Macaca fascicularis: one gene and its partner. The main gene of each other region encodes a partner of the protein of the gene in region 2 in a complex. Links are inferred from orthologs where the notes say so. Each region holds a gene or a part of one and is shown on either strand. Other genes may lie near its edges. The genes, in order: IZUMO1R and IZUMO1.

The links.
Region 1: the proteins of IZUMO1 (region 2) and IZUMO1R are in contact, whole or in part, in a crystal structure (PDB 5JKC), measured with the Homo sapiens proteins. The link is inferred for Macaca fascicularis from reciprocal best matches to the Homo sapiens genes IZUMO1 and IZUMO1R. Residues at the interface, in NP_872381.2 of Homo sapiens: Met75, Val77, Tyr134, Val141, Leu146, Trp148, Lys150, Asn151, Lys153, Glu155, Val156, His157, Ala158, Arg160, Lys161, Ser162, Tyr163, Asn239, Ser240, Ser241, Pro242, Ile245; in NP_001186135.1 of Homo sapiens: Lys42, Tyr44, Glu45, Ile48, Leu58, Trp62, His65, Leu66, Asp67, Gly80, Leu81, Leu82, Met83, Pro84, Gly85, Arg87, Ile91, Met145, Ser146, Tyr147, Gln171.

The regions. Positions count from the first base shown.
Region 1 is NC_088388.1:93,304,758-93,320,092, forward strand, and holds IZUMO1R (sperm-egg fusion protein Juno), read left to right. Parts: upstream 1-7,293; coding exon 7,294-7,431; intron 7,432-8,172; coding exon 8,173-8,382; intron 8,383-8,825; coding exon 8,826-8,961; intron 8,962-9,085; coding exon 9,086-9,354; 3' UTR 9,355-10,653; downstream 10,654-15,335. UniProt on the Homo sapiens protein: Receptor for IZUMO1 present at the cell surface of oocytes (oolemma), which is essential for species-specific gamete recognition and fertilization.
Region 2 is NC_088393.1:56,731,846-56,747,412, reverse strand, and holds IZUMO1 (izumo sperm-egg fusion protein 1), read left to right. Parts: upstream 1-7,966; 5' UTR 7,967-8,087; coding exon 8,088-8,421; intron 8,422-8,762; coding exon 8,763-8,837; intron 8,838-9,527; coding exon 9,528-9,614; intron 9,615-9,870; coding exon 9,871-9,891; intron 9,892-10,558; coding exon 10,559-10,639; intron 10,640-12,119; coding exon 12,120-12,220; intron 12,221-12,479; coding exon 12,480-12,633; intron 12,634-12,944; coding exon 12,945-13,122; intron 13,123-13,394; coding exon 13,395-13,515; 3' UTR 13,516-13,535; downstream 13,536-15,567. Other genes in the region: FUT1 (galactoside alpha-(1,2)-fucosyltransferase 1), read left to right, coding at 2,761-3,861; RASIP1 (ras-interacting protein 1), read left to right, coding at 14,140-14,276, 14,794-15,479. UniProt on the Homo sapiens protein: Essential sperm cell-surface protein required for fertilization by acting as a ligand for IZUMO1R/JUNO receptor on egg.

The DNA of each region.
Region 1 (15,335 bases), on a different chromosome or scaffold from region 2:
GTAACCCATGTCAGATGATGATGAGCCTCGAATGATCATGTTAAAGTATTTGCATGAGGTGGTGGAGGAAGAGGGGTCCAGGATAGCTCCAGGCAGGGTGACTGAAGGGAAGGGGTCCCATTAGCCAGCACAGAAAAGGAGATTGAATGTGGAGCTAAAACAGGTAAGTGTAAGGTGCCTGTGAAAAATTCAAGTGCAATACCATTGGAAGTATGTAGATATGTAATTCTACAGGTCGGGACTGTATAGAGATTTAAGAGTACCCACATATAGATGATCACTGAAGCCATGTTGGGGGTGATATTGCCCAGAGAGAGAGAGTGTACCGTAAGAAGAGAAGAGGTCCAACCAAGAACAGAGCCCCAGAAAGCGCTTAAAGGGCAGAAGGAGGAAATGGAACCTATCAAAGGGACCAAAAAGGAACTAGTTGAGATGTAGGAGGAAAGCCCTGAGAATCAAGGAAGAAGTGAGTTTCAAGAAGGCCGGGGGGACTGAGTACTTTGGTCAAAGGCAGCTGAGGAGTCAGGTAGGATCCAGACGGACCTTACCCACTGGATTGGATAATTTAGAAGTTGCTGCTGAATATGGCCAGAGTGGATTCCAGGGAACGGTGGTGGAGTCAGGCAGCAGGGAGGGATAATGAACATGAGGAGACACGGAGGAGCCACCATGAACATACACAGGTTTTATACAAAACATAGCTAGGAAGAAAAGACAGTTTGGTAGCTGAGGTGGAACTTAGGGTCTAAGGACAGTTCCAGGAAGGGATGGTGGGTGGATTGAAAATATATGGAGGCTGGGCATGGTGGCTCACACCTGTAATCCCAGCATTTTGGGAGGCCAAGGCAGGTGGATCACTTGAGGTTGGGAGTTCAAGACCAGCCTGGCCAACATGATGAAACCCCATCTCTACTAAAAATACAAAAATTATCCAGGCATGGTGGCACGTGCCTGTAATCCCAGCTACTCGGGAGACTGAGGCAGGAGAATTGCTTGAACCCGGGAGGTGGTGGTTGCAGTGAGCCGAGATTGCGCCATTGCACTCTAGCCTGGGCGATGAAGTAAGACTCCATCTCAAAAAAAAAAAAAAAGAAAAAAGAAAAGAAAAGAAAGAAAATGTATGGAGAATAGTTGCATACTGTAAAACTGCATGCAAACCTTAGTTACTGGTTAATAATGCCCTCTGATACACCCAGCAGCAGCCTGGTATGAATGTGACAATGTGACATAAGTGTGATGGTGAGCAAGGGAGCCATCAGCCCAAGAAGGAAAATAAGGAGAGTAAAGACATTTTTTCTTTCTCCCATCTGTAATTTTCAGTTAATTCCTTGTCCATAGAACATTGGTGTTTTGCTCTCTGTTCTCCCCTGTTCTCCCTTGGACTCTTTTCAACAGTTGATGAGCTTCAAACTCATTTCCTTTGTGGTGATTAGACCTAAAAAGTGGCCTTCTTCAAGTGGCAATGAGACGCCCCAGCATTAACACTCTGAAATATCACAGAAGTTATCAGAAACTGAAGAGGCTCTGGTTGGAAAATCTGGGAGTGAGGAAGAAAACTGAGAGAGGAAAGGCAGGGAGGGGAGGGGCGGGAGGAAAGGCTGAGAGGAGAGGTCACTATAAACTAGAAGGAGGAAGAATAGAGGAGGGAAGGAAAAGAAAGAGGGGATAGGAAGGAAGAGAGGAGAGGGGAGGGAGGGAGAGGAGAAAGAGAAAAGAGGGAAGAGATGGGAAGAAGGATGGGGAGAGGGAGAAGGGAGAGGTCACCTTAAGTTGGAGAGAAAAGGATGGGTGAGCATATGATAAAGGAGAAGAAAGAGAAAGAGGAAAGGAAGGAAGGCAGGGGAAAGGGAGAGATGGGATAGGTCAGGTTAAACTAGGGAAGTGTCTGAATTAATATTCCAGGAAGAGATGCTGGATGGATTGAAAATGTCTCAAGAACAATTGCACATTGTGAAACTGCATACAAACCTCAGTTATGAGCTATTACACTCAGCAGCAGGAAGCAAGAGAGGCAGAAAAGAGAGGTGGGATAGGTCAGGTTAAACTAGAGAAGTGTCTGAGTTAAAACTACATTTTTAAGAAATGCAGTTTGGGCCAGGCATGGTGGCTGCTGCCTGTAATCCCAGCACTTTGGGAAGCCGAGGCAGGTGGATCACTTGAGGTCAGGAGTTTGAGACCAGCCTGGACAACATGGTGAAACCCCGTCTCTACTAAATATACAAAAAATTAGCCAGGCATGGTGGTGTGCACCTGTAATCCCAGCTACTCGGGAAGGGGGTTGAGGTGAGAGAATCGCTGGAACCCAGGAGGTGGAGGTTGCAGTGAGCCAAGATTGTGCTACTGCATCCCAGCCTAGGCAACAGAGCAAGAGTCTGTCTAAAAAAGAGAAAGAAAGAAAGAAAGAAAAGGAAGGAAGGAAGGAAGGAAGGAAGGAAGGAAGGAAGGAAGGAAGGAAGGAAGGAAGGAAGGAAGGAAGGAAGGAAGGAAAGAAGGAAGGAAGGAAATGTAGTTTTATTTTACTCAGGTATTTCTCCTCATCTACTCAACAAATTGCAGAGTATGCACTCTGGGCTAGGGACTGTGTTTGACCCTGTGATCGTTACTATCTTCCTGCAGCTGCTTACAGAAGAGAAGCAAGGTCGAGCCTGTCTGCAGGCATTCATTTCCAAGGGCAGGACGTATGTGCAATGACTGCAGCAAGCATAAGCTCCAAGAGACATCTCACCAGCCCATGACGGCCATGCAAGTTTCCCTGACAGGAAGCCTTTGGTTCTGAGAGCTGAAGCGTATGTATCCCTAGACACAGAGGCTGGGCTATGACAGAACAGCCCTGGAAGAGGGGCCCCTGCAAGGGGCAGGACAAAGACGGGCCATCAGGCCTCAGGAGTGCCCAGAGCATCCATGAGAACAAGGACAACAAATTAAGATGGAAAAGTAAATAAAAACCACATTTAAAAGGGCTGGTGTGCCACGTTAAGGATCTGGGACTTACCTTAAGGTCTAGAAAGGTTTTAAACATGGGAGTATCATAACTGTCTTTACATTTTTAAAAGATCATTCTGAAAAACAAAGACTGCAAAGAAATGTTGAACCCTGGTTAATGATATGCAGGCTTGAATTACTTAGGAAGACATCAGTTTACTGATATCCGCAATTTACTTTGAAATGCATAAAAAATAATAAGACTGATACCTGAATAGAGAGAAAGATGGTTGGCTAAACATATAATAAAGAAAATATAAAAAAATGGTAATGGTGAAATCTAAGTAGTGGGCATATGGGAGAGAGTTGACTATAAAATTATCTCAACTTTATGTTTGAAAACTTTCATAATGAAAATACTGATAAAAGAAATGAAATAATTATATGAAAAATATACCTGCATTCTTACGTTTATTACAGCACTATTCACAATAGCAAAGATTTGGAATCAACCTAAGTGTCCATTAACAGATGAATGGATAAAGTAAATGTGGTAAAATATATACAATGAAACACTATTCATCCATAAAAATGAATGAAGTCATGTATGTTGCAGTAACATGGATGGAACTGAAGCTATTATCTTAAGTAAAACAACTCAAACAAAAAGTCAAATACTGCATTTTGTCACTTAAAAGTGGAAGCTAAATAATGTGTACATATGGACATAGAACATGGAATAATAGACGTTGGAGGCTCGGAAGGGCGGGAGGGAGTGAAATATAAGAAATTACATAATGAGTACAATGTGCAAAGCACAGACTTCACCACTATGCAATATATCCATGTAACCAAACTGCACTTATACCCTTAAATTTATACAAATTAAGAAAATTCTGAGACATTACATCATTATGGCTGCTACATGATTAAAGCTCCATTAAAGGGTGGGAGAGCTAATTAGGGGGTTGTTGCAGTAACTGAGGCAAGAGCTGATCATGGTCCAGACAGTAAGTAAGGGATGTGAATTCAAGAGATATTTAGAAAATGAAATCAACAGCTCTGGCGATTAGATAGACATAGAGGGAAGAATAAATTAATATCCCTGTTTACCTGCCCTAGACAGAAACCAATCAAGAGTTTAGATGAGGATGGTCAATTGGGTTTGGGGTGAGAAGAATTCATGAAAGACCCACTAAGAACTTGGAATCACTGAAGTCCCCTTCGGCTGGCCTCTGACAGCGGATTCTCACCAGGAGACTCCAGGCTCTAGCTCTTCACTTTCGTAGTCTGTTCTCGAAGTCAGTGGGCTTCAGCCCCTTGGGTGACCTGAGGACGGGAGAGGGGAGGGAAGTCATCACTGCCCAGCATCTCCAGTGGCCCCAAACCAGAGCCAAGGCTGGGTTGCTTCACCCACTGCCCTGACCTCCTTGTCTTCCCTCAGAGCCCTCTGAAGGCAGCTGTACCTCTTCTTTTGGAAATGGAAGTGTTCTGTGTTGTTGTGTGTGTGTACGTGCGTGTGTGTGTGTGTGTTTTTAGAATAAAATTGTTTTGAATCAGCCACTTCAAATTGCTTCATCTACAGTCAGCTTTGATTTATCTGCTTTCAGTCAGAAAGCAGATTGCTCTGGAAGACTCAGTCACAATAAGGCAAAAATAAGCTTTGCTCAAGGGTCTCAAGCTGCCTCTCCCCCGAGAGCAGATGCTGGCCGGCCTGATGGTTCTCTGAAAGGCAGCCTCACTCACTGGGTAATTCCTTCCTCCCTCCCTCCCTCCCTCCCTCCACCTGCATATGCGCTGGCTGCAATTTTAGCTCATTTCCTACAGCTTTGTCCCGGAGACCGTTAGCAAGCCGCCCTTAGTCCTTCTTCCCACCCTAGGAAGGACGGTTGTCAGAGGACCTATTTCCATTTCAATAATTACTGTTGTGATTCATGTCTGGATTCTTGGCTCTGGCACCTCCGCAGCCATTTTAAATTGAACCTTAAACCCTAAATCTCTTACCTTGTCAAGGCTTGGAGCTTCCTGAATATTCGTGAGGAACTGAACAGAATATGAGAGCCTGCTTCTCCCCCTGCCAGGCTATGGAGATGCTATTACCATTTGGTATCTGAACCTAAGGAGGAGACTCCAGGCTCTGCTTCAGGTGGGGACATGGGAGAATGGGTTGATAACTGTCACTTTTCCAGAATAAAGCCAACACACACCTCCCAATGCATGTACAACCTCATTATGGCATTTAACCTTTTTTAAGAAGGAGACCTCACTTGAGAACCAGACAGTATCGACTCTTTTAGTCCTGGAGGTTTCTCCCTCACCTGGTCCTTAAGCATTAGATAGGGAGTCGAGTATACCTGAATTTATATCCCAGCTCCACTACTCACCTCTGAGCCTCAATTTCCCCACACCTAAAACAAGGAGGGTGTTCACATTGGAGGTCTTTTTGAGACATCAGATCCTGTAGACAGCACCAGGCCAGTGCCTGCATCCTTGTTTGTGCTCCGCATTCAGTGGCTGTGATTACCTAGGTGTGGAGAATGTCATTTTCCAACATGAGTACACGTTTTACACATCAATTGTGTAGCTGAACACCACAGAATGTATTTTATTTTATTCCATTAAAAAATGCTTTTAGTGTTTTGTTTTCATTTCCTTTGTGTCAATAAAACTTCACTGATTTCAGCTACTTCTCTTTCAGAGAGACAGAGAACATATTATAAAAACAAAGAAATATGCTCCTTTTCCAGCGTTTTTATCATCTTTAGGACTCTCCCAAGAATCCTATCCAAGTTTCTAGTCTCTCCTTAGCTGAAAAGGATAGTCTTGCAAATATGATCACTGATGAGGACACTTGTAGAATATTTCCCAGGACGATTCCTGTGTGCTAAGGGGAGCTGTTTGGTGGGTTATGGAGGGACTTTCTTTGTTTTGTTTGCTTTGGCTTTGTTCGTATGTTTAAATTCTTGGGTCCCCAAGGCCACACTTCATCTCTGCATCCTGTGTCCTGGGTCTGCTCTCCAGCAGGGACCATAGCTCCTGTGGGCTGTGCGAGGACACTGTCGGAAAAGCCACCAGGTGACTGAGCTGATGCCTGGCTAACAGTGAAGGGCAGGTAGAGCTACGGAACAGAACATAGGAGGGGCGTGTGGAGAGAGGATAAAAGAATACAATTTAAAATCATTAAGACTTCCTCTATCCCAGGCACAATGCCAAGGTTTTTGTTCATGAACTTTCTCTTTATTTTTCCCAATCTCATAATAAAAACTTCCTTTCCAGAGAGGGAAACTAACAGAGTTTGAGTCATTTTCTCCAGGGGAGCCAGCTAGTGAGTAGCAGAGCTGAGAGCTGAACCCAATAGCTTATTGAAGAGCCCCAGATCTTGCCTACGATGGGGTCTGTTTCTCTGAGGAAGCAAACTTCTTAGAACCCACAGGCCTGCAGAGCTGAGTAAGACAGACGCTGTTTAATGGGAGCCACGTGGAGTTCTCCTCCTGCACCTGGACCTAGTAGAAATCAGACAGGGTAATAAATGGGTGGGACGTGGAACTCTCCTCAGCCTCACAGTTTCAGGGGGAGGAGGGAGCAAGAGCACCTGGAGGCCCCTGCCTTGAAAGTGAGTATGAAGAGAGTGCTGGAAGGGGCAGCGTCTTTCCTCCTTTTACCTAACAGACCTGATTCTTTAAAAATATTCGAGGTCATGGCTGAACTTGAAACTGGTGATCTGGAGAGAGAATAGCCTTAGATTTGGACTTCAGGTTGGACTCTGAAGAGGGGGCTGGGCTCTTCTTTCCCAGGATGTTTGAGGCTCTTAGCTCAGGGTAGGCTAGAAGTTTCCAGTTTCACCATGATGGGTCCAGGTCAGGCTCCTGCCAGACCTGGGGGGCTGGGGGAGCCATGGGCTCCTGGGTTATGAAGCTGAGGGGCCCTGTGTCTTAAGAGGTTGGGTGCTTGAAGCCCAGGGCCCCTCTCTGCCTTTTGCTTTGTTTTGTCTCTCTTTCTACTACCTCTCATTACCACTACTACCCAGAACAGAGTTGGATATAGGAAGGGCCCTCCTCCTCATTCCTGTGATGGGGATCAGTCTTTGGATGTAGAAGGCTCCTCCTATCTGACTCGTGCCTCAGCATTTCCCTGGCTCTGCAGGGCCAGCAAGGCCTCCAGCACTGTGTCAGGCCTCCGAGGATTATTCTACCTGCCCTGACATTCCGTGATGCTGCCTCCAACAGAAGGTCCTAGGAGCAGCCAAAGTGTTGTAGTCGCTTGAGGGAGATTGAAGCCCATCCTCCTTTTTCAGCGCCTGCTATGATGAAGTGGGTGGAGTGGGGTATCCTTTCCAACGAGTGTACAGCATTGGTCTCTCTGCAGCAGGCCATGGCATGGTGGTGGCCACTCCTACTAGAGCTGTTGACAGTCATGCCCACCTGGGCTGGGGATGAGCTACTCAACATCTGCATGAATGCCAAACACCACAAGAGAGTGCCCGGCCCAGAAGACAAGCTCTATGAGGAGGTACAGTGGCCAGACCTGGGGATGGGACGGGGAAGATCAGGGAAGGGACACAAATGCCAAGATGGTCTCCAAACCTCATCAACCCTGATCATTTGGTCCCTGGGGTTGGGAGTTGAGCAAAGACAACTAGATGGAAAGAGACTATGCCTTTTTGAGACCATGAGAGCCAAGTGATTCAAAGTTCCCATTTCTGAGCTGCTCCAGCCACTGGGAAAGCCAGGGCAGATGGTGATCCCAGAGGTCCATTGTTGACTCGGCGTAGATGAAAACAAGCCTTCCTGCCAACAGGTCCTGGGGAAACATACAACGTATGTAACCCCTCCCCAAGCTCCTAAAGGCAATTGCCAGGGATGTGGGAGGAAGAACACAGTTGGCATTTTGCCTATGAGACCCTCCCACTCAATGCAACCCCAGATTCCCCTAGGTCTCGCTGGGGCTCTTCTACCTGCTTTGCCCTAAGAGGTTTCTGCTGCCTCTCAGGAGCTGAGAGCCCAGAAGTTGTGTTCCTAGAGGACTGTAGCAGCCTGTGGCAGGGGGTCAGTGTGCAGGTGCCTATGCCCTTTGGGTAAACATTGAGAGATTATCAGGGTTCCTCTTATGTAGGGGCTTACCAGCTAAAGGCATCCCACTTGCTCAGGCCTTCTCCTAAGGGACATTTTCATTTCAGCGCCCTTCTTCCCTAGACACCCGGCAATCCTTGCCCCTTATGCCTGGGCCTTTTGTTTCCTCGTCTGCCTTCAGTGCATCCCCTGGAAGGACAATGCCTGCTGCACCCTCACAACAAGCTGGGAAGCCCATCTGGATGTGTCCCCACTCTACAACTTCAGCCTGTTTCACTGTGGACTGCTGATGCCTGGCTGTCGGAAGCACTTCATCCAGGCCATCTGCTTCTATGAGTGCTCCCCAAACCTGGGGCCCTGGATCCGGCCAGTGGGAAGCCTGGGGTGGGAGGTAGGAGGCAGATCTGTGCAATGCTCTGTTATTATATTAACAGCCAGAGCTTTCACCCTATCTTATGCTGATGCCTCCAGGATGCTAGCAGGAACAGGAGGTGTTATCTCCCTATGGACAAGAGCAGACCCAGAGGCCCCTGCTGGAGAACCACATGGGGGAGACTGTTTTGACAACAGTGGGATGCAGGGCTATCACCACAGAAGGCTTGGTGGAGTTAGACGGACCTGAGCCTCAGTCTCATGTTCTGTCCCTACCAGCTGTATAGCCCAGGACATACTATTAAATCTCTTAGCCTCATTGGTGTTATTTGTAAAATAATACTTAGAGACTTTATAGAAGATGATGTACATATGGTAGCTGGCACAAACACCACTGTAGCTATTAGTAATCTTCACATCTCTGCTATTAATGTTCTTATCTCTGGCTATGACTGCACCCAGGAGGCCCCGAGTAGGCAGGGAGAGCGAGTCGTGAATGCACCGCTGTGCCAGGAGGACTGTGAGGAGTGGTGGGAAGACTGTCGCTTGTCTTACACATGCAAATCCAACTGGCGTGGCGGCTGGGACTGGAGTCAGGGTGAGTGGTGCTGACAACGCCTTGGTGGGGAAGCAGGACCCTTGGTGGTCCCCACAAGGGTGCAGGTGCATAGGCTAGGAATGAGGGAGTAGGAGGTAAGCTGTCCCTCCTCCATCCCCTGCAGGGAAGAACCGCTGCCCCAAAGGGGCCCAGTGCCTCCCTTTCTCCCATTACTTCCCCACCCCAGCTGACCTGTGTGAGAAGACTTGGAGCAATTCCTTCAAGGCCAGCCCTGAGCGACGGAACAGTGGGCAGTGTCTCCAGAAGTGGTTTGAGCCTGCTCAGGGCAACCCCAATGTGGCCGTGGCCCGCCTCTTCGCCAGCTCTGCCCCATCCTGGGAACTGTCCTACACCCTCATGGTCTGCTCCGTGTTCCTGCCATTCCTTTCCTGAGAGCCCTTCTTCTCCAACCCACATTCCTGCACGTCCGCCAACTGTGGGTCAGGCCAGGCCACAGCCTACCTCCTTCCTCAGGCCCTCCCCTAAAAGCAGTGGCATGGGCTAGGGACTGGGTGGGACTGCAGTCCCCAGCCCATGCCACTGCTTTTAGAGGAGGGCCTGAGGAAGGAAGTGGCCACTGAGGCTTCAGCCGCTGGTGCCTGAGCCCTGCACATTTGGCCCGAGGCCCCCTCCACTGCTCTGCTCTGCCTTAGCTGGCCTGGGAGGCAGCTGGGGGCTGGAAGTACCAAGGTGACTGGCCCCCTGCTGCCTTGAGGGATGGGAGATTTTAAGGGGCTCGAGGACTTTTCCCATCCAGTGCACGCCTACCCCTTTCTATGACAGAGCTCATGGTGGCAGACCTGGCCTCCCGTCCTCCGATGGTGTCTCCAATAAATCGGCACTCAACCTCTCCTCTGCTTGACTTCCTCTGTCTTAGCTTTACGAGCAGGGACCCAGCATGCACACAGCGGGAAGCAGTTTGCCCACTGCACTGAAGCCTCAGAGTTAGGTTGTTACTTGCCTAACAATTATTACCCTCTTACTATCTGCCACACATCCTCACAACACCTCTCTGATGGGAGTACTTTCAATGCCTCTTTTTTTTCAATAAGTGACACCCCATACAAAGGACCCAAAGCCAGGGCGAGAGGAATGGGGCCACCCAGTGCATCAGCTCTATTTTGGCTGCCAAAATTAAAACTGCTATCTCGACTGCCTTCAGGGTTCCCTCTTCCTTTTAACCCATTCATTTTACCCCAGAATCACAGCACACTGGTCTAAAATTTTGGAAACCCAAGTTCTAATCTGGCCTCTTTGCTTTCTATATGACTTTTGGCAACTCCTGTGATCTTCATTAAGACTGCCTTGGTTTCTCTCTCTGCTAAAGTAATGAGTTAGTTGGATTTCACTTATGGAAAAGAAGAAAAAGGAAAAAGCTAGCAACCTTGTTTGCCAGGAGATAGTGTGTGCTCCTCAGATGGTACGCCACGACCTCAAGAATAAAGTGTTAGAACTGAACTGGGGATGGGGCCCTGACCTCGCACCCCGGCTGTAAGTGGACAAGCAGCTGACCTGCCCATCCAGCATCTTCTGGAGCCTGGAGCTGGGCGGCTTTCCAGCAGTAGGTGATGCTTTTCCCCCACAACATTTTATTTGACAAAGAGAGGGTTCTAGCATGGCTGCACTTGATTTGGCTGGCTTTTCTGACAACTGTTCATTCTTGTCAGACACCAGCCAGCCCCACTCATTGCTTAAACTCGGCCTCCATTCCTTCTGCACCGGCCTCACAGGCTCATCCACTGAGCAGACCTTGTCTCAGGGGAGGCACTGGAGTCACAAAACCAACAAAGAGCGTCCTTCCAAGTGCGGCCCTCAGTGTCTAGAGTAGTAGATGACAGCTGCAGTGAGGACAAAGCTGTTCATAGGAAGTCTGAAAGAAAGGGGTTGGGTGGGGGTCTCTGAGAATGCCTCACAAAGGGGTGAGGCTGGAGCCCCAAAGAAAGAGGGCAGCTCACTGAGAACAGAAGGGAAGTGCTAGTCAAAACCCAGTGGAGGCCCCAAGGTATGAGCCAGATGAAGCAGGACCTTCAATTGCTCTTAAATGAATAGATTGTGGCTTCAAAAATACATATGAATGTATCAAAAATCTCTTAAAGAGCTTAAAAAATTGAAAATCTCTTGAAAACTGAGGTGTCTGTGGGTGTGTGGTTGATAATAAAGCTGAGAGGTTAATGCCCTTTTTAAAGTGTTTTTAAATATAAGGAATTGCCAAAGGAAGGTTAAAATTGGAGTGGACAAAACAAGAGTAGTCTGGAAGCCCTAATAACTTGATACTTATTGATCACTTACCATGCACCCAGTATCTCTGGGAAGTATATAATATATATTAGTTCATTTGATCCTCACAAAAGCCTTATTATCCTTGTCGTATTATAATATTATCCTCATTTTTTACTATTCTCATTTTTCAGATTGGGACATAAATATAAGTAGGTTTGAAACCAGCTAAGTCTGAGCCCACAGTTCCAGCTCACAGGCTTACACTGAACAGCCTGGTCTGTAGTTGAGTGGAACTGACGTGGATTTAGGAGTGGTGGGAGAGAGGGAGGGATGGCTGGTGGCAAGTCACAGTCAGGAAAGAGACTGAGTTCTCCCCCTTCATGGGATTAGGAGTCATTACCCACAGGTCACAATTGACAGTTTAAAAGTAAAAAGGCTTCCAAGTTAACCCACCTAGGGTAGGCCTTGTGGTTCATGGTGACATCCTTTCCCTGAAAAAGAATCTTATTGTGAGTTCCCTGTTGGCATACTGCTTAATGTGTAGCCTACCGACATTGAAAAGGGTGCTGATTTTTTTTTTCTTTCTTTCTTTCTTTTTTTTTTTTTTTTTGAGACAGAGTCTCTCTCTGTCGCCCAGGCTGGAGTGCAATGGCACAATCTCAGCTCACTGCAACCTCCGCCTCCCGGGTTCTAGCGATTTTCCTGCCTCAACCTCCTTAGTAGCTGGGACTACAGGGACCTGCCACCATACCCAGCTAATTTTTGTATTTTTAGTAGAGATGGGGTTTCACCATATTGGCCAGGCTGGTCTCCATCTCCTGACCTTGTGATCCACCTGCCTCGGCCTCCCAAAGTGTAGGGATTACAGGTGTGAGCCACCGTGCCCAGCCAGGAGTGCCGATTTAAATTTACATATTAAAGTTTTATTGATTGTCTTCCACGTAGACATTTTAGCCTGTATGTTGCAATCTGTATCCAATAATTGTAACCTCTATATTGTACCCTCCAATGAAAAAGGACAACTTCAGGATGCGAAATCCCCTCCCTTCTCCTAAACTTTCCTATAAAAAGCCTTCCAACATGTAACACTCCAGAAGACTCCCAACTTTGTTAGTGTGTCTTCCTGGGTCAATATTCACATTTGGCTTCCAAGAAACCTTTGTAAATTATTTCTGCTTCCAACAAACCTTTGCAAATTGTTACAAATAGCCTTAATTTTGGTCAACAGGAGGAGTGATGGGTTGTAAGCAATGGAGCAGAACTGTCAGATTTGCAGTTAGATTGTGTGTTTTAATCAGAGTGATCCATGCACATGGCTCACACACATCGGCCAAAGGATTTCTAATGCAAAGCGAGAGAGCGGCTGTCAGTTCACCTATCCACCAGGTTCCTACCCTAGGAGCACCCCTTCTAACCATTTCTGGGTTTAGCTATGAAAAAGTTACAAAATGTGACTTACCTTTTCTGCCAGACGTTCAGACTATGTTTTTGCTCTCTGTTCTGTTTGAGTTTCTCAACTTAATCCTCCAATGATTTTAATTCCAGCAATCCACTTTTAATTTCCAGGAGATTTTTTATTTCTTTTTTTTTTTCACAGCCTGCTGTTTTTTGTTTCATGGATGTAATATCTTCTCAAATGTCACTGAAGATCTAATTAGAATGTTTTTAAGCTTGTTTTGAGTCTCTGAATGACCTGTTTCCTCCAAGGTCAATCTGTTCTGTTTCCTTGATTTTCTCCTACGTGCTGCTGGTTCTCTCTGAGTCCGGTGGCTTTGACTGTCTATCTTTGGCTGTCATATTTAAGAATGAGGAGCTGAGTTGATTTTATAGTGAGCTATTTTAGGTTTCCTCCATGGTTTTATATAAGGATCTTCATTTCCCCTAAATAGCAGCCCTGCTGCTATTTGTAACAATTTGTAAAGGTTTATTGGTATGTGGGAAGAGCTTGTTGAGAGAAAGACCTTGCTTCAGAGTGTGAAAATTAATGAAGATACCCAAATAAGAACAAGCAAAGGCTATTCGTTCAGAGCTTGCAAGAGAGTCAGCTACTATCACTTGCATTTTGCCAGAGACTCAAGGCAAGGAGGGGAGTGGGAAAGTTTGAGTGGATAAAAGGGAAGGCTTCGGCTGGGCGTGGTGGCTCACACCTGTAATCCCAGCACTTTGAGAGGCTGAGGTGAGCAGATCACAAGGTCAGGAGATCAAGACCATCCTGGCCAACATGGTGAAACCCTGTCTCTACTAAAAATACAAAAAAATTAGCTTGGCGTTGTGGCGGGTACCTGTTATCCCAGCTACTTGGGAGGCTGAGGCAGGAGAATCGCTTGAACCCGGGAGGCAGAGGTTGCCGTGAGCTGAGATCGCACCATTGCACTCCAGCTTGGGTGACAGTGCGAGCCTCCATCTCAAAAAAAAAAAAAAAAAAAAAAAGGGAAGGCTTTAAGTCTGCTAGGCTCAGAGGCTGTGGGCAGGGGCAGCTGAAGGCAGGCTAACTGGAAATGGGCATCCTATGTGTTTGGTTCAGGGAACATACTTAGCTTTTTCTGATTGGTCCTAAGTTGTAAATGGAGCCAAAAATAAGAAAGCTGGCTATTAATAAAAAATTCTTGACCATGTTGGGTCAATTGTGATAGGGATTATTCTTTGGCTCCCTACACTGCATCTTCCTGAAGGTAAGATGCCTTACCAAGTGCAGTTAGGAGGTTGGCTTCTTGGGCTACTAGTGGATCAGAATCCTGTTTTATATACAGCTAACCATTGTTCATTTGTAGATTCAGTCTTTCAATCCCAGGGACAAAAATTAGGGAACAGTTATTAATCAACTCCTGGCTGTTTGGGGCTACTGCAGGGCTGATTGTTCGGCTTTCTGGGCTAATTGCTAGAGAGAGAGTTCTGATGTCCTACAAGTCTGACTTGCAAGATAGTAGGATGGCTTCTGGGCTGGTTACTATAGATAATGGGTTAGAGTTCTATTGTTATATGTGGTCTGGTCATTGTCCATCTGTATATTTAGTCTCTCGAGACCAAGTTAGCAGGAGCTATATTGGGGTATGGAGCCTTTGCGTGGCAGAATAGGGATGGTTCTCTCTGGGATGCTAACAACCATATGTCAAATTTCAGCACTGTCCAATTAGCTGGGCGTGGTGGTGCCATGCACCTGTAGTCCCAGCTGCTTGAGGGGCTGAGGCAGGAGGACTTCTTGAATCCGGGAGGTTGGGGTTGCAATGAGCCAAGTTTGCACCACTGCACTCCAGCCTGGGTGATAGAGTGAGACTCTATCTTAAAAAAAACAAAAACGAAAACAAAACCCAACTTCAGCACTATCCAGAATTTCATTTAATTTTTTAGAGAAGGTTATTCTACCCCAGGGGCTAAAGTTGGGTTGCCTGAGCACTAGATTTGGGCAGAGGACATGTGGACCAGTGGTGTGTAAAGACTTTCTTGCTCTGCCCCCAATGCCTGCCAACTCTGAGCCCAGAGCCTCTCAGAGTTTCTGCCTGATGAATCAGCTCCTTCGTCCACTACAGCTGCCGCCTCCAATTTCTCTGGCCTTCTTGTTTCCTTTGATGTGCTCTCATGTGCTTCCTGTCTTCTAAATATTTGTTGAAATCTCTTGTTCGCTGATGGTTTCCTTCACATGCTCTTGATAAAGGAACATGGAAATAATCATTTTAGTGGAATAGCAGGTATTCATTCAACTCTCTGTAACCAGAAGCTGTAGATTTATTAAAGACTCAACAGTTGTTTAAATAGTAGATTGAAAGACAGCCAAATGGAAGACAAGGAGGATGAGGACAATATGTAGAATGAACTTGCAGGAAAGAAAGAAAATCAGAAGGCAGGTGCTAGAAATCTAATTGTGAGCAACCTTCTAGAAGGCATGTAGCCAGGCTACAGTAGAGGCAGTGGACACAAGAGGGGCAGATTTGGGAAATATTAGAGGATAGAACCAATAGAAGCTTAGGGCATATTTTTGCATAAAGTACCACAAAATAGGTAAAAGATGTTAGGGATGGAGAACTATCCCAAAGAAACCAGCAGCCTTGGATAACTGTACTCGGATGCTTCCATTTATAAGAGGAACTTCCCCCACTTTGGATTGTACTAGGTCTTGGTAGCAGGGAGCTACTGGAGGGTGTTCCTTCTCCTGGAGG
Region 2 (15,567 bases):
ACCAGCGCGCCCAGCCATTCAGGGCCACTACAGCTCTCCGCGTCTTGGTGGTAGCGGTCCCCCGGGCCCAACTGTTTTCTATCTCTTTGTCTTGTGTCTTTATTTCTTTTTTTTTTTTTTTTTTTTTTTTTTTTTTTTTTTTTTTTGACACGGAGTCTCGCTCTGTCGCCCAGGCTGGAGTGCAGTGGCCGGATCTCAGCTCACTGCAAGCTCCGCCTCCCGGGTTCACGCCATTCTCCTGCCTCAGCCTCCCGAGTAGCTGGGACTACAGGCGCCCGCCACCTCGCCCGGCTAGTTTTTTTTTTTTGTATTTTTTAGTAGAGACGGGGTTTCACCGTGTTAGCCAGGATGGTCTCGATCTCCTGACCTCGTGATCCGCCCGTCTCGGCCTCCCAAAGTGCTGGGATTACAGGCTTGAGCCACCGCGCCCGGCCTTGTGTCTTTATTTCTTACAATCTCTGGTCTCCGCACAGGGGAAGAACACCCTCAAAGCCCCGTAAGGCTGGACCCTACATCAGCCGCCCTGCTTGGGGTTGGCGATGCTGGAGGTGGGCCTTGGACCAGAGAAAATGCTTTCATTAGGTGACAAGCGGGCAGAGGCCTTTGTTTCTGGCGCCCGCAGCCACGGCCCCCGCTGACGGCATGGGAAACAGATCCTGTTCCACTCCGGTCTCCAGCATTGGAATGGTTGCCTCGGTACAATGCAGGTCTGGAAAGTAGCAGTTTAGCACGGGACCCTAGAATTCCCCAAAAGGAGTGACTAGAAGCTGGGATTCTGGAATTTGAGTGTGGACGGCGGGTTGGGTGGGTGGGAGATCGGAGACCCTGGTGGGCGCGGGGGGCACCTGCAGGCTGGAGGCCCTCGCGCGCTCCCGCGGCAGCCTGGCAAACAGGTTCTCCATTCCCCAGGAGGATGCGGCCGGGGGCGGACGATCGCTCCACTCGCCCGGACCAGGTGCGGGGGCCCTGCCCAGCCGCTGGGGCGTGGCCAGGCTCGACGCACCCAGGTGCCGGGGGCCGACTCTAAGCCCTGGCACCAGAAGGGAGAGGGCGGCGGATTGGACCTCCCGGCTCGAGCATTGCAACTGGGAGCTCCGTCTCCGGGTCCACGCAATGATGCCGCGGCTGCTCGCAAGCCAGGTAGGCTGCCCCGGGTGAAGCCTTCACGGAGGTCAATGCCGGGGCGGAGGGGCAGGGCGCGGTCCCCCACATCCCCGATCTGGGGAGCGGTGGGTCCAGGGGCCATCGCCCTAGCCCGGGGCGCTGGGGCTCGGCGCCAAGTGAGGGGCGGGCCTCCACCTTCCAGCCATCTGCCCAGCCCGGGAAGGCGGACGCTGAGAAACTCCCGGCCGCGCCCCCTCCTTCCTCCCCTCCCCAAGCCCTCGCTGCCAGTCCGGACAGGCTGCGCGGAGGGGAGGGCTGCGAGGCCGAAGAGCCGGACGCCTGGCGTTCCAGGGGCGGCCGGATGTGGCCTGCCTTTGTAGAGGGCGCGCTCCGGCCACGCAAAGCGGACTGTGGATCTGCCACCTGCAAGCAGCTCGGGTAAGTGGGGACTGCCGGTGCCTGGGACCCAGCAACAACTCCTTCAGAGCCAGGAGGTGCACCCCCAACCTCTTCTCCAGGTCTTCCTAAGGCCCTAAGACTCTCCGCCGCCTCCCCAGCCATTACTTCTCCAGGAACCAAGATGCTGCTTCCGCTCCTGACCCTCCAGCCTCTCTTGTTTTACTTTGACTATCGCTTCCCATCACCACCTCTGTGGTGGATTTTGTTCCTCACAGACAGCCACTCCTGAGAAACAGGCTGATGGAAGAGTCCAGTATCAGCGGACCTTACAGGAGGGGAGACTCGAGATTCCTGCAGGAAAGGTGCAGGAACCTGGACCATGGCTGTCTGTTTTGCTTTTTTTTTTTTTTTTTTTTTTTTTTTTTTGAGAGGGTCCCTCTCTGTCGCCCAAGCTGGAGTGCAGTCAGTGGTGCTATCGCGGCTCATTGTGAGCTCCGGGGATCCTCCCGCCTTAGCATCCGGTGTAGCTGAAACCACAGACACGTGCCGCCATGCCAAGCTATTTTTTTTGGGGGGGGGGGAACGGAATTTCACTCTTGATGCCCAGGCTCGAGTGTAATGGCACGATCTCGGCTCACCACAACCCCCGCCTCCCGGGTTCAAGCGATTCTCATGCCTCAGCCTCCCTAGTAGCTGGGATTACAGACTTGCGCCACCACGCCTGGCTACTTTTGTATTTTAAGTAGAGACAGGGTTTCTCCATGTTGGTCAGTCTGGTCTCCCACTCCAGACCTCAGGTGATCCGCCCGCCTTGGTGTCCCAAAGTGCCGCAATTACAGGTGTGAGCCACCCCTCCCGGCCCATGCCAAGCTAATTTTAATTTTTTTTTGTAAAAGCGGAGTCTTGCTCTGTTGCCCAGGCTGATCTTGAACTCCTAGGCTCAAGGAATCCTCCCATCTCAGCCTCTCAATATGCTGGAATTACAGGTGTGAGCCACGGCGCCCAGCCAAATCATGGCTATCTTGAAAACCACTTGTTTTCCAATCCCCATGCCCCGAAATTCCAAGGCTCTCATCCCTCAAACCTAGGACTCCGGCGCTCTCTACCTCAGCCCCAGGAGTCTAAACCTGTGACTTTCTCTTTCCCTGGGACTAAGGAGTGCTGCACCCCAGGCACCTCCCTTCCCCCACATCCCTCCTCAGCCTCCCCTCCCTAGTCTTTGTGTATTTGCTAATTCACCTTTCCTCCCCTGCAGCCATGTGGCCCCCGAGCCGTCGTCAGCTCTGCCTGGCCTTCCTGCTAGTCTGTGTCCTCTCTGCGCTCTCCTTCTTCTTCCATATCCACCAAGACAGCTTTCCACATGGCCTACGCCTGTCGATCCTGTGTCCAGATCGCCGCCTGGTGACACCCCCGGTGGCCATCTTCTGCCTGCCAGGTACCCCGGTGGGCCCCAACACCTCCTCTTCCTGTCCCCAGAACTCTGCCTCCCTCTCCGGCACCTGGACTATCTATCCCGATGGTCGGTTTGGTAATCAGATGGGACAGTATGCCACGCTGCTGGCTCTGGCCCAGCTCAATGGCCGCCGGGCCTTCATCCTGCCTGCCATGCATGCCGCCCTGGCGCCGGTATTCCGCATCACCCTGCCCGTGCTGGCCCCAGAAGTGGACAGCCGCACACCGTGGCGGGAGCTGCAGCTTCACGACTGGATGTCGGAGGAGTATGCGGACTTGAGGGATCCTTTCCTGAAGCTCTCTGGCTTCCCCTGCTCTTGGACTTTCTTCCACCATCTACGGGAACAGATCCGCAGGGAGTTCACCCTGCACGACCACCTTCGGGAAGAGGCGCAGAGCGTGCTGGGTCAGCTCCGCCTGGGCCTCACGGGGGACCGCCCGCGCACCTTTGTGGGCGTCCACGTGCGCCGTGGGGACTATCTGCAGGTTATGCCTCAGCGCTGGAAGGGTGTGGTGGGCGACAGCGCCTACCTCCGGCAGGCCATGGACTGGTTCCGGGCACGGCACGAAGCCCCGGTTTTTGTGGTTACCAGCAACGGCATGGAGTGGTGTAAAGAAAACATCGACACCTCCCAGGGCGACGTGACGTTTGCTGGCGATGGACAGGAGGCTACACCGTGGAAAGACTTTGCCCTGCTCACACAGTGCAACCACACCATTATGACCATTGGCACCTTCGGCTTCTGGGCTGCCTACCTGGCTGGCGGAGACACTGTCTACCTGGCCAACTTCACCCTGCCAGACTCTGAGTTCCTGAAGATCTTTAAGCCAGAGGCTGCCTTCCTGCCCGAGTGGGTGGGCATTAATGCAGACTTGTCTCCACTCTGGACATTGGCTGAGCCTTGAGAGCCGGGGAGATTTTCTGAAATAGCCTGATCTTTCTAGAGCCAGCAGTACATGGCTCTAGGCCTGGCATCTTCTGGAGAAGTCTGTGGTGTTCCTGAAGCAAATGGGTGCCCGTTTCCAGAGCGATTCTAGTTGGGAGAGTTGGAGAGAAGGGGGACCTTTCTGGAACTGTCCGAACATTCTAGAACTAGCAAAACATCTTTTCCTGATGGCTGGCAGGCAGTTCTAGAAGCCACAGTGCCCAACTGCTCTTCCCAGCCCATATCTACAGTACTTCCAGATGGCTGCCCCCAGGAATAGGAAACTCTCCCTCTGGTCTATTCTAGAAGAGGGGTTACTTCTCCCTTGGGTCCTCCAAAGACTGAAGGAAAATATGATTGTCCAGAGCAAACATTCACCAAGTCCCCTTCTGTGTTTCTGGAGTGATTCTAGAGGGAGACTTCTTCTAGAGAGGGCCAGATTTGATGCCTGTAAAGAACCCTGCAGGGCCCTTAGAGACAGGATGGGGTTCTGGAAATCTAGATAACTAAGGTGAATAATCTTTTTAGTTTTTGTTTTCTCGCCCTGTTGCCCAGGCTGGAGTGGCCTCGCCCTGTTGGGTCTCGCCCTGTTGCCCAGGCTGGAGTGCAGTGGCGTGATCTTGGCTCACTGCAACCTCCGCCTCCTGGGTTCAAGCGAATCTCCTGCCTCAGCCTCCTGAGTAGCTGGGACTACAAGCACACGCCATCATGCCCAGCTAATTTTTGTATTTTTATGTTGGCCAGGATGGTCTTGATCTCTTGACCTTGTGATCCACCTGCCTCGGCCTCCCAAAGTGCTGGCATTACTGGCATGAGCCACAGTGCCCGGCCCGGATAATTTTATTTTTTATTTATTTATTTATATATATTTTTTGAGACGGAGTCTCTCTGTAGCCCAGGCCAGAGTGCAGTGGCGCGATCTCAGCTCACTGCAAGCTCCGCCTCCCGAGTTCATGCCATTCTGCCTCCGCCTCTGGAGTAGCTGGGACTACAGGCGACTGCCACCACACCCAGCTAATTTTTGTTTGTATTTTTAGTAGAGATGGGGTTTCACTGTGTTAGCCAGGATGGTCTTAATCTCCTGACCTCGTGATCTGCCCGCCTCGGCCTCCCACAGTGCTGGCATTACAGGCGTGAGCCACCATGCCCAGCCCGGATAATTTTTTAAAATTTTTGTAGAGACAAGGTCTTGTGATATTGCCCAGGCTGTTCTTGAACTCCTGGGCTCAAGCAATCCTCCCACCTTGGCCTCCCAGAATGCTGGGATTACAGACGTGAACCAGCACACCTGGCCAAGTGAAGAATCTAATGAATGTACAACCTAATTGTAGCATCTAACGAGTGCCCCACCATTGCTGGAAAAATCGAGATGGAAAACAAACCATCTCTAGTTGGCCAGCGTCTTGCTCTGTTCACAGTCTCTGGAGAAGCTGGGGTAGTTGGTGAGCAGAGCAGGACTCCGTCCAGCCAGCCCTCCAGCCCCTCAAAGACTTTTTTTTTGTTTGTTTTGAGCAGACAGGCTAAAACGTGAAAGTGGGGTGAGGGATCACTGCTAAAATGGTGCAGCTTCTGGAGCAGAACTTTCCAGGGATCCAGGGACACTTTTTTTTAAGCTCATAAACTGCCAGAGTTGCATATGTTGGGTCTGAGTTCAGGTTTCCTCTCACAATGAAGGAAGATGGTCTTTCTCTGCAGGTGGGCCGCTGGGGGTCTGGGATCTGTTTTCTGGAAGTGTGGAGGCATAAACACACCCTCTGTTTTTGTGACAAGCTGGCAAGCACTGTGCTCATTGCTAACCATTGTCTGCCCCTGAACACCCAGAACCATTACATCTGGCTTTGGGCAGGTCTGAGATAAAAGGATCTAAAGGCCTGCAGACACTGGACCCAGCCTCAAATCCAGGCAGGAGCACGAGGTCTGGCCAAGGTGGACAGGATTGTCGAGATCTCAGGAGTCCCTTGCTTTTTTTTGGAGGGTGAAAGAAGAAATCTTAAACTTAGTCAACTCTGATCACATCCCCTATCTACTCATCCAGGATCCCATGCCTCCAAGCTTATCAGGGAGTTACACTTACAGTACAATTGTTACAGTTACAGCACTGTTCCCAACTCAGCTGCCGCAGGTAAGAGAGCAGGAGGTATGAATTAAAAGTCTACAGCACCAACCTCTGTCTCTGCAGCTTTTTTGGAGTCAGAGCTGCCGTGTGTGTGTGTGTGTGTGTGTGTGTGTATGTGTGTGTGTGTGTTTGTGTGTGTGTAAGGGAGTGGAGGAAAAGGTGGGTACTTCTGAAGACTTTTTTTTTTTTTTTTTTGAAGACCGAGTCACCCAAGCTGGAGTGCAGTGGTGTGATCTCAGCTCACTGCAACCTCCACCTCTCGGGTTCAAGTGATTCTCCTGCCTCAGCCTCCCGAGTAGCTGGGACTACAGATGTGTGCCACCATGTCCAGCTAATTTTTTTATTTTTAGTAAAGAGGGGTTTCACCATGTTAGCCAGGCTGGTCTCGAACTCCTGACCGCAGGCAATCCGCCCACCTGGCCTCTCAAAGTGCTGGAATTACAGGCGTGAGCCACCGCGCCCGGCCCTGAGGATTTTTATTACTCGTGATTGGTAGTACTGTCCCTACTTAGATCTGACAGCTCCTTGTTGCTGGACTTGTGAGAGTTGTGGTCCCTGTTTTTCTGGTTTCCTGTTTCAGTCACACAGGAGAGACAGACCTTCCAGGACCCAAACGTCTGAGCCCCCAGTTGCTCTCTTCTGGACCCTCAGTATTGGCCCCCAGTCCTCTCCTCCCGCTGGGACCTCCGCGTGGAGAGAAGAGGCGGAGGAGGGAGCGAACGGATTATCATTGAACTACATTTCCCGGAAAGCTATGGGGTTGGCAGCGCTAATCAGCTACAGAGAAAGAGGCCCCAGGACATTTTGGGAATTGTAGTCTTATGGCTAAAATGTCCACTTCGTAGCTCGACAGCCGTTTCCAAGGACCGCGGTAGGGGCGGCAGCGGCTTGGGGGGCCGGATCTAGCCCAAAGCCTGGGTCCTGGGGCAAGGAGAGGGGAGAAAGCTGAACGCTAGAGTCCGGTCCTTGACTCTGGAAGCCAGAGCAGTCAGGAGCCTTCCTCTTCGGTAGATGCAGGGAAAGTTCTAGTCCAAAAAGGCTGCAGCCTCTGTGACGTCATGGAGCGATAGGCGGGGCCTCCCTTTGTTGCAGTCCAATCAGACAGAGTTGGGCTTCTGGGTGGGGCCAAGGAACGCCCAAGGAATATCTATAAGGGAATTCGGGCCCCTACGTGAGAAGCTCGCAGCGGGTGGTTGCAGGAGTTCCCTGAGGAGAGGGGATCCTCCGTGACTCAGACCCCCATCGAAAAGCTCTCGATTTCACGCAACCAACCTTACCCTCGTCCCCAACAAAATCCTTGATTTTAGCCCTGGGAAAATTAGCGTAGGTGGTCATGACCCCGGGTTCTTCTTTAAAAGCCCTCAGAACCTGGACCGGGCTCCTCAACGAACCCCAGTGTTAGAAGCCACAAGTCAGGAATCGAGGTCGGGGAGCGGCTCTTTAGGGTGCATCACTGTTCAGGATGCACCAGGGCTCCTTTTTCTAAGCAGAAGGGTGCGCCCCGCAAATTGGGAGCCCGTTAGTTTTGGGGAAGGGTGAACAAGGGCCCCCTGGGTCTGGAGGACCTTATGGAGTCTTGCTTAAGTCTTAGTACGGACCCCAGGTTTAGGAATTCGGAATGTGTTTTGGTTTTGAAGGACTTCCGAGTTTGACAATATCGGGTTGGGTCTGTGTTAGATGATTTATTGGTTTGGGCTTTGAATCTTCAGCTTGAGGTTCAACAGGTTTTTGGGGGCTGGCGGGTGAGTGCCTCACGGTTGCGCTTAAGGGTTGGAGTTCAGGATCACGTCAATCTGGGGACTTGGAAAATTCCATAGTTTGGGATTTTGGGAAGGGGCGCATGGGGTTGGGAGATTCCAGGTCCTGAGTTTGGGGACTTACGAATGCTTCCTGTTTAACGGTTTTTCTGATCTCTCAATTGGGATGCAGTGAGAACCCTAAATTTGGGGTCCCCTGGGTTGGGGCTCAGTTTCACACTTCGGAGGCATTTGATGAACGACATAGGTCCTCTTTATTTGGAGATTTCCTGAAGATCCTCTTTTCGCGGTTTGGGGACCCCATGGGTAGGGAGCCCAGTGGGATTTCTTAAGATGGATTTTGGCTTTTCTCCGTTTAGCGTTCTCCTGCTCTCGGTTTGGGGTGAGAGCAGCCTTCCTAACGGTCTTCGGGAACTGTGCGCGCCGGCTGCAATGGGGCCACATTTTACCCTCCTGTGTGCGGCGCTGGCCGGTTGCTTGCTTCCTGCCGAGGAGTGTGTTATGTGTGACCCGTCTGTCGTGCTGGCGCTAAAGTCCCTGGAGAAAGATTATCTGCCTGGCCATCTGGACGCGAAGCATCACAAAGCCATGATGGAAAGGGTAGAGAAAGCCGTGAAGGATTTCCAGGAACTGTCGCTTAATGAGGATACCTATATGGGGGTCGTTGGTGAGGGCAGGGGGGACCACGGACCCCTGGGTCCTGGGAAAGGGAAGGAGGGAGATAAGACCAGGGGGAGGAAGAGGCTGACAGCAAGGTCTCCGGGATTCGGGAATGGAGAAGGCTGAGATGCAGATTCTGAAGTTCCCTGGGGCTAGTACATACTGTTTTCCCTATCCTTATCCGGCGATTTTACGTAATAAAACTACAATTCCCAGAAGGCAACGGGCGACTGAGTCCTTAACCAGGCCTATCCTTGCCCAGTGGCCTCATGGGTATTGTAGTTTCTAAGGTTAGGCGCGCCAATGAGACAGTAAGGCTGGAATCTGGGGTTGTATCTCTCTTGACAGACGAGGCCACACTGCAAAAGGGGTCCTGGAGTTTGCTGAAGGATCTGAAACGCATCACAGACAGTGATGTAAAAGGTAAATGCACCAAGGGAGTAGGGGTCCAGAATCTCTCAGGGAAGCCAGCATTAGTGCTGCCTGGTCTCTTGGTCAGATACTAGGCTGTGGGGCCAGACTGCCTAGGTTCAAATGCCTGCTCTGCCACTTCCTAGCTGTATGCCCTTGAGCAAAGGACTTGGAAGCTCCCTTGGCTCTAAAATGCTCCCTCAGTTGTTCAGTTTAAATGTGTATTGCTGGCCGGGCGTGGGTAGCTCATGTCTATAATCCCGGTACTTTGGGAGGCTGAGGCAGACAGATTGCTTGAGCTCAGTAGTTCAAGACCAGCCTGGCCAACATGGTGAAACCTTGTCTCTACAAAAAATACAATATATATATATATATATACACATATCTATAACCTGGGCATGGTGGTGTGTGCCTGTAGTCCTAGCTACCTGGGGGGTTGAGGCCGGAGGATTGCTTGAGTCCAGGAGGTTGAGGCTGCAGTGAGCCATGATTGCACCACTGCACTCCAGCCTGGGTGGCAGAGTAAGACCCTCCCCCATCCCCCAAAATATGCATGGCTTAGCCTAGCGGCTGGCATTACGTTAGACGGTCAATTTTAGTGCCCTTTCCTGAGAAGGCCAGGAAGTAAACTGCCAGCTCTGCAGGCAGAAGTAAACTTCCAGCACCTCACACGTGGGACTGGGGGTTCCTGTGTCTTCCCAGGTGATCTCTTCGTGAAGGAGCTATTTTGGATGTTGCACTTGCAAAAGGAAACCTTTGCCACCTATGTTGCTCGATTCCAAAAAGAGGGTGAGAGAAAATGGGAGTCTGTGTCCCCCAGCTCCTCTTTCCACTATCCAAGAGTCCCTGTCTCCAGCCCCTTACTTCTCCAAGCCCAGTTCCTCAGCTTCTCCAACTGCCTCCTCCTTCAGACCCAAGTCTTTTCTCCCTCAAACCCAAGAGCCCAAAGCCCAGCTCTTCCCCAAACCTCCTCTTCCATCATCTTTCATTTAGAAATCTGACTCTGTCATCTCTTTCTCTCTCTTTTTTTTCTCTTTTGACACAGCTTATTGTCCCAACAAATGTGGTGAGTCCGGATTACAGAAGTTAACCCTCTAGTCCTCATCCTGCCCTCTACATATTCTGCTTCCCCACTCGCCTTTTTGAATCCTGATGGTTTTGTCATTCTCCGCCTTGGAGAGGTTCCTGGGTCTCCACTATTCTTTTTCCACCTTGGATTTCTTGGGGAGCAGGTCATATTCTACTTACACTCTTTTTTTTTTCTTTTTTAAGACAGTCTCACCCTGTCGCCCAGGCTGGAGTGCAGTGGTGCAATCACGGCTCACTGCAACCTCCGCCTCCGAGGTTCAAACTATTCTCCTGCCTCAGCCTCCCTGAGTAGCTGGGATTACAGGTGCCCACCACCACACCCAGCTAATTTTTGTATTTTTAGTAGAGACAGGGTTTCACCATGTTGGTCAGGCTGGTCTTGAACTCCTGACCTTGTGATCTGCCCACCTCGGCCTCCCAAAGTGCTGGGATTACAGGAGTAAGCCACCACGCCCGGCCTTTACTTACACTCCTTACTGAGCCTTGTTGGAGTCCACTTCCTACCCACCTGCGTCCTGGTCCTGTCCCTTCCTCTGACCATGTAGGAATGTCGTAGATGACCTGGCCCCAGCCCTTGGCCCTGACCTCTCCTTTTAGCCATGCCCCTTAGTGGGCAAATACAAGCCTTGACTCTGCCCCTCCAGGTGTGATGTTGCAAACTCTGATCTGGTGCAAGAACTGCAAAAAGGAGGTTCACGCTTGTCGAAAGTCCTACGATTGTGGGGGTGAGAGAACTGTACTCAGCAGGAGGAACTGGTGCAGGTGGGGTGGGGCGATAGGAGAGACAGACTAGAGAGAGCTTAGATGGGGGTGTGGGGGCAGTAGACAAGAAAAGGCAGGGTTTAGGCCAGGTACAGTGGCTCACACCTATAATCCCGGCACTTTGAGAGGCTGAGACGGGAGGATCGGGAAGCCAGGAGTTTGAGACCAGCCTGGGCAGCATAGCGAGACCCCATCTCTACAAAAAAATTTTAAAATCAGCCAGGTGTGGTGGTGTGTTCCTGTAGTCCCAGATACTTGGAAGGCTGAGGCAGGAGGATTGCCTGGACCCAGGAGTTGGAGACTGCAGTGAGCTACGATCATACCACTGCACTCCAGCCCGGGCAAAAGAGTGAGACCTTGTCAAAAAAAAAAAAAAAAAAAAGTCCGGGCGCGGTGGCTCAAGCCTGTAATCCCAGCACTTTGGGAGGCCGAGACGGGTGGATCACGACGTCAGGAGATCGAGACCATCCTGGCTAACACGGTGAAACCCCGTCTCTACTAAAAAATACAAAAAACTAGCCGGGCGAGGTGGCGGGCGCCTGTAGTCCCAGCTACTCGGGAGGCTGAGGCAGGAGAATGGCGTGAACCCGGGAGGCGGAGCTTGCAGTGAGCTGAGATCCCGCCACTGCACTGCAGCCTGGGTGACAGAGCGAGACTCCGTCTCAAAAAAAAAAATAAAAAAATAAAAAAAAAAGAGGCCGGGCGAGCTGGCTCACACCTGTAATCCCAGCACTTTGGGAGGCCGAGGAAGGTGAATCACGAGGTCAGGAGTTCAAGACCAGCTTGGCCAAGATGGTGAAACCATCGTTTTTGTACTAAAAATACAAAAAAAGTAGTCAGACATGGTGGTGGGCACCTGTAATCCCAGCTACTCGGGAGGCTGAGGCAGAGAATTGTTTGAATTTGGGAGGTGAAGGTTGCAGTGAGCCAAGATGGCGCCACTGCACTCCAGCCTGGGTGACAGAATGAGACTTCGTCTTAAAAAAAAAAAAAAAAAAAAAAGCGAGCGAGAAAGAAAAGAAGAGAAAAGACGGGGTCACAACAAATGTAAGAGGATTAGGGGAGGGTAAAGAACCGTGAAGGAGGCCGGGCGCAGTGGCTCATGCCTGTAATCCCAGCACTTTGGGAGGCTGAGGCAGACAGATCGCCTGAGGTTAGGAGTTCGAGACCAGCTTAGCCAATGTGGTGAAACCCCGTCTCTACTAAAAATACAAAAATCAGCCGGGCATGGTGGCGTGCGCCTGTAGTCCCAGATATTCAGGAGGCTTAGGCAGGAGAATCGCTTGAACCCGGGAAGCGGAGGTTGCAGTGAGCCGAGATCAGGCCACTGTACTCCAGCCTGGGCGACAGAGCAAGATTCCATCTCAAAAAAAAAAAAAAAAAAAAAAAACCCAAACAAACAGAACCGTGAAAGAGTGTCCCATGGTCTTCCTCCACCCCCAGAGCGCAATGTGGAGGTTCCTCAAATGGAAGATATGATCCTGGACTGTGAGTTAAACTGGCATCAGGCTTCTGAAGGCCTCACTGATTACAGCTTTTACAGGGTGAGGGCCTCAACTTCTGTAATCCTTGAACTCCCTAGACTACAATACTTGTGTACTGGATCTGTGGGCCTGCACCCACGATTCTCATGACCCAGGCGGGTGGTCTATTAGGTGTGGTCTCTACTGGGGATCCCGTGCCCCAACCAGTGACACCCTGGACACCCACCTCCCACACTGAGGCCCTGTGATCTTCTCAACCCGGTACTCCCCCAACCCCTGAATTCCTCAGGCCTCAGTGACCCCTTGAGCTTGGGTCTAGGTTTGGGGGAACAATACGGAGACTTTGGTGTCCAAGGGGAAAGAGCCCACCCTGACCAAGTCCATGGTGGGTCCAGAGGATGCAGGCAGCTACCGCTGCGAGCTGGGCTCTGTGAATTCCAGCCCAGCCACGGTCATCAATTTTCGCGTCACAGGTCAGTGCTGTGGGGTTGAGAGAAGTGTAGGATTCAGGGCCCAGGAAAGCTGGGGGTCCGCGTCGGGGGCGTGGCCTCGGCGATGGGGGCGTGGCTTCCTGTTGGGTGTGGTTTCGGGGCAAGGGGTGTGGCTTCCCGCCGGGGGCGTGGCCTCTGACCCCGAGGACAGGCGTTCCCTTGGGTGTGTTCAGGCTTTACACTGTTGAAGGCGTGATTATCTCTGGGATGGCAGGCTACCGGGACGGGCTTGCCTTTGCCAGGGCAGGAACTCCACGCCCTGCCAGGACTGCTCTTTACACTTTCTCTAACAGTGTTGCCCAAAAGGGTCGAGGAGGAAAAACCGTCCCCAAATATCGTAACCCCGGGGGAGGCGACCACGGAGTCGTCCAATACCCTCCAGCCTCTGAAGCCCGAGAAAATGCTGAAAGGCCGCCTTCTGGGGCTGCTGATCTGGGGCTCCCTAGCACTGATAACCGGCATTACCTTTGCGTGAGCAACCCGTTGAAGAAGGCTGGCTAGGCTTGGAGTAACGGGCGGGGCTTCCAGGAACCCAACGCAGAAGCTGGGCTGGGGGCTACTGAGGACTGAGAGCAGGACTTTCCTGGGGATGGAGTGCGGGGGGCTTGCATAGGAGGACTTCGAAGGGCGAGGCTTAGATAATTGCTAGAATAAAGTCACACAGGGGGTGGTTGGGAGGGGTGTCCCCCACACAATTACTACCCAACCCGGTTCCATGATCTGCACCCCACTCCCACCCCTAGGATATTTTGTCGAAGGAAGGTGATCGATTTCATCAAGTCCTCACTGTTTGGCCTTGGCAGTGGAGTGGCCGAGCAACCCCAGGTCCCAAAAGAAAAAGCCACAGATTCGAGGCACCAATAAAGATTTATCTTGTTGTCTAAGCATCTGACTCACTCCCCTGGACGGGGCTGATCCTAGCCTTTGGTTCCCCGAGAGCAGAGGTCTGGGGATGGGCTCCGGCCTGAGGGAAGAAGGGCGGGAAACCAGGACCCTTGGGTCGTGGAGGGGGCCATCTGGCTGCGACGTAATTCCAGAATCAAGGAATGGGGCAGGGCCAATCCTCCCCAGATCTCCTCCCCCAGGCCTGGTCTCCTCACAGGACGCCCCCTCCCCGCTCTTCCTGCCGGGTTTCCTCTTGCCTTTTCCTGTCCCCCACCCAGTGCTGGGAGCCGTGGCAGAGGCAAGAGCAGTGGAACTGACCCAGGCCAGTGGAGCCAGGGCCTCCGGGTGTGCCGGACCCGAAGCAGGGTAAGAGCCAGGGACCCAGCGGCCCAAACCCTCCTCCCTGGGACCCAAGACTCAGTCCCCCAGCCATCTTCCATCCCAGGACCCAGGAATCCAGGGTACCATCCCTCTCCTCCCTCTGGGCTCGCAAGTCTGAGCCCCAGTCCCCTCCTCCCTCTGACTCGGAGTCCAGGTTCCCTCCACCCCATTCCCACAAGAGTGCCTTAGGAGTTGAGGCCTTCCTCGCCTTCCCTTAGGGCCATGCTATCTGGTGAACGGAAGGAGGGCGGAAGCCCCCGCTTCGGGAAGCTTCATCTCCCCGTGGGCCTGTGGATCAATTCCCCCAGGAAGCAGCTGGCGAAGCTGGGGCGGCGCTGGCCCAGCGCAGCCTCTGTCAAGTGAGTGCCATCTCTGCAGGACTCCTGGCCCTGCACACCTGCCTCCCATCTGTCCCTGTTCACGGCCCAGTCCTGCAAAGGGTTGGCTCCGGTCCTCATCCTGAATTGGGCAAGCGAGCTTGTGGGTAGTGCGAGACGGTGGGGCGCAGCGATACCAGGGCGCTGTGGGAGTAAGAGCTAGGCCAGGCAGGAGGTGGAGTGAGGCCAGATCGGCACCGGGATGAGGACAGAAAGAGCAGGGGGATTGATTCACCTTCCTTCCTCCCCTCTCTGCTCACCTCTTGGAATTTCCCTCTGTGGGACTTGCCTTTATTTATTTATTTATTTATTTATTTATTTTCTCTCTCTTTGCCTCGCGTCTCTGTGCCAACCCTCACCCCCGCCCCGTCCATCCACCCTGGATCCCTGTCCTCTCTCTGGGTCTCTGCTCACTTCCCTCCTAATCTGTCCTCCACCCCCGTCTTGGCGTGTTGTTCGGGTCTCTCTCCCGCGACTCTGTTCCCCGGCGGACTCCCAGGTCTTCTTCGTCGGACACGGGGAGCCGTAGCAGCGAGCCGCTACCTCCGCCCCCGCCGCACGTGGAGCTGCGGCGAGTGGGCGCTGTCAAGGCGGCCGGGGGAGCCTCCGGTAGTCGCGCCAAGCGCATCTCCCAGCTCTTCCGGGGCTCGGGGACCGGGACCTCGGGGTCCGGCGGCGCGGGAGGCCCTGGGACCCCGGGGGGTGCGCAGCGCTGGGCCAGCGAGAAGAAGCTGCCGGAGCTGGCGGCGGGCGTGGCCCCCGAGCCCCCGCTGGCCACCCGCGCCTCCGCGTCCCCGGGGGTCCTCAAGATCTTCGGCGCCGGACTGGCATCGGGCGCCAACTACAAGAGCGTGCTGGCCACGGCGCGCTCCACGGCGCGCGAGCTCGTGGCCGAGGCTCTAGAGCGCTACGGCCTGGCCGGCAGCCCCGGTGGCGGCCCGGGCGAGAGCAGCTGCGTGGACGCCTTCGCTCTGTGCGACGCACTGGGCCGGCCCGCGGCGGCGGGCGTGGGAAGCGGCGAGTGGCGGGCGGAGCACCTGCGCGTGCTGGGCGACTCAGAGCGCCCGCTGCTGGTGCAGGAGCTGTGGCGGGCGCGGCCCGGCTGGGCGCGGCGCTTCGAGCTGCGCGGTCGCGAGGAGGCACGGCGCCTGGAGCAGGAGGCCTTTGGGGCTGCAGATGGCGAAGGTGAGCTGCGGGCGGGGCTCTGGGGCGGGCACTCGGGGCCAGAGAGGCGGGGTCCGTGGGGCGGGGCCTGGGCGGGGCTTGTGGGACC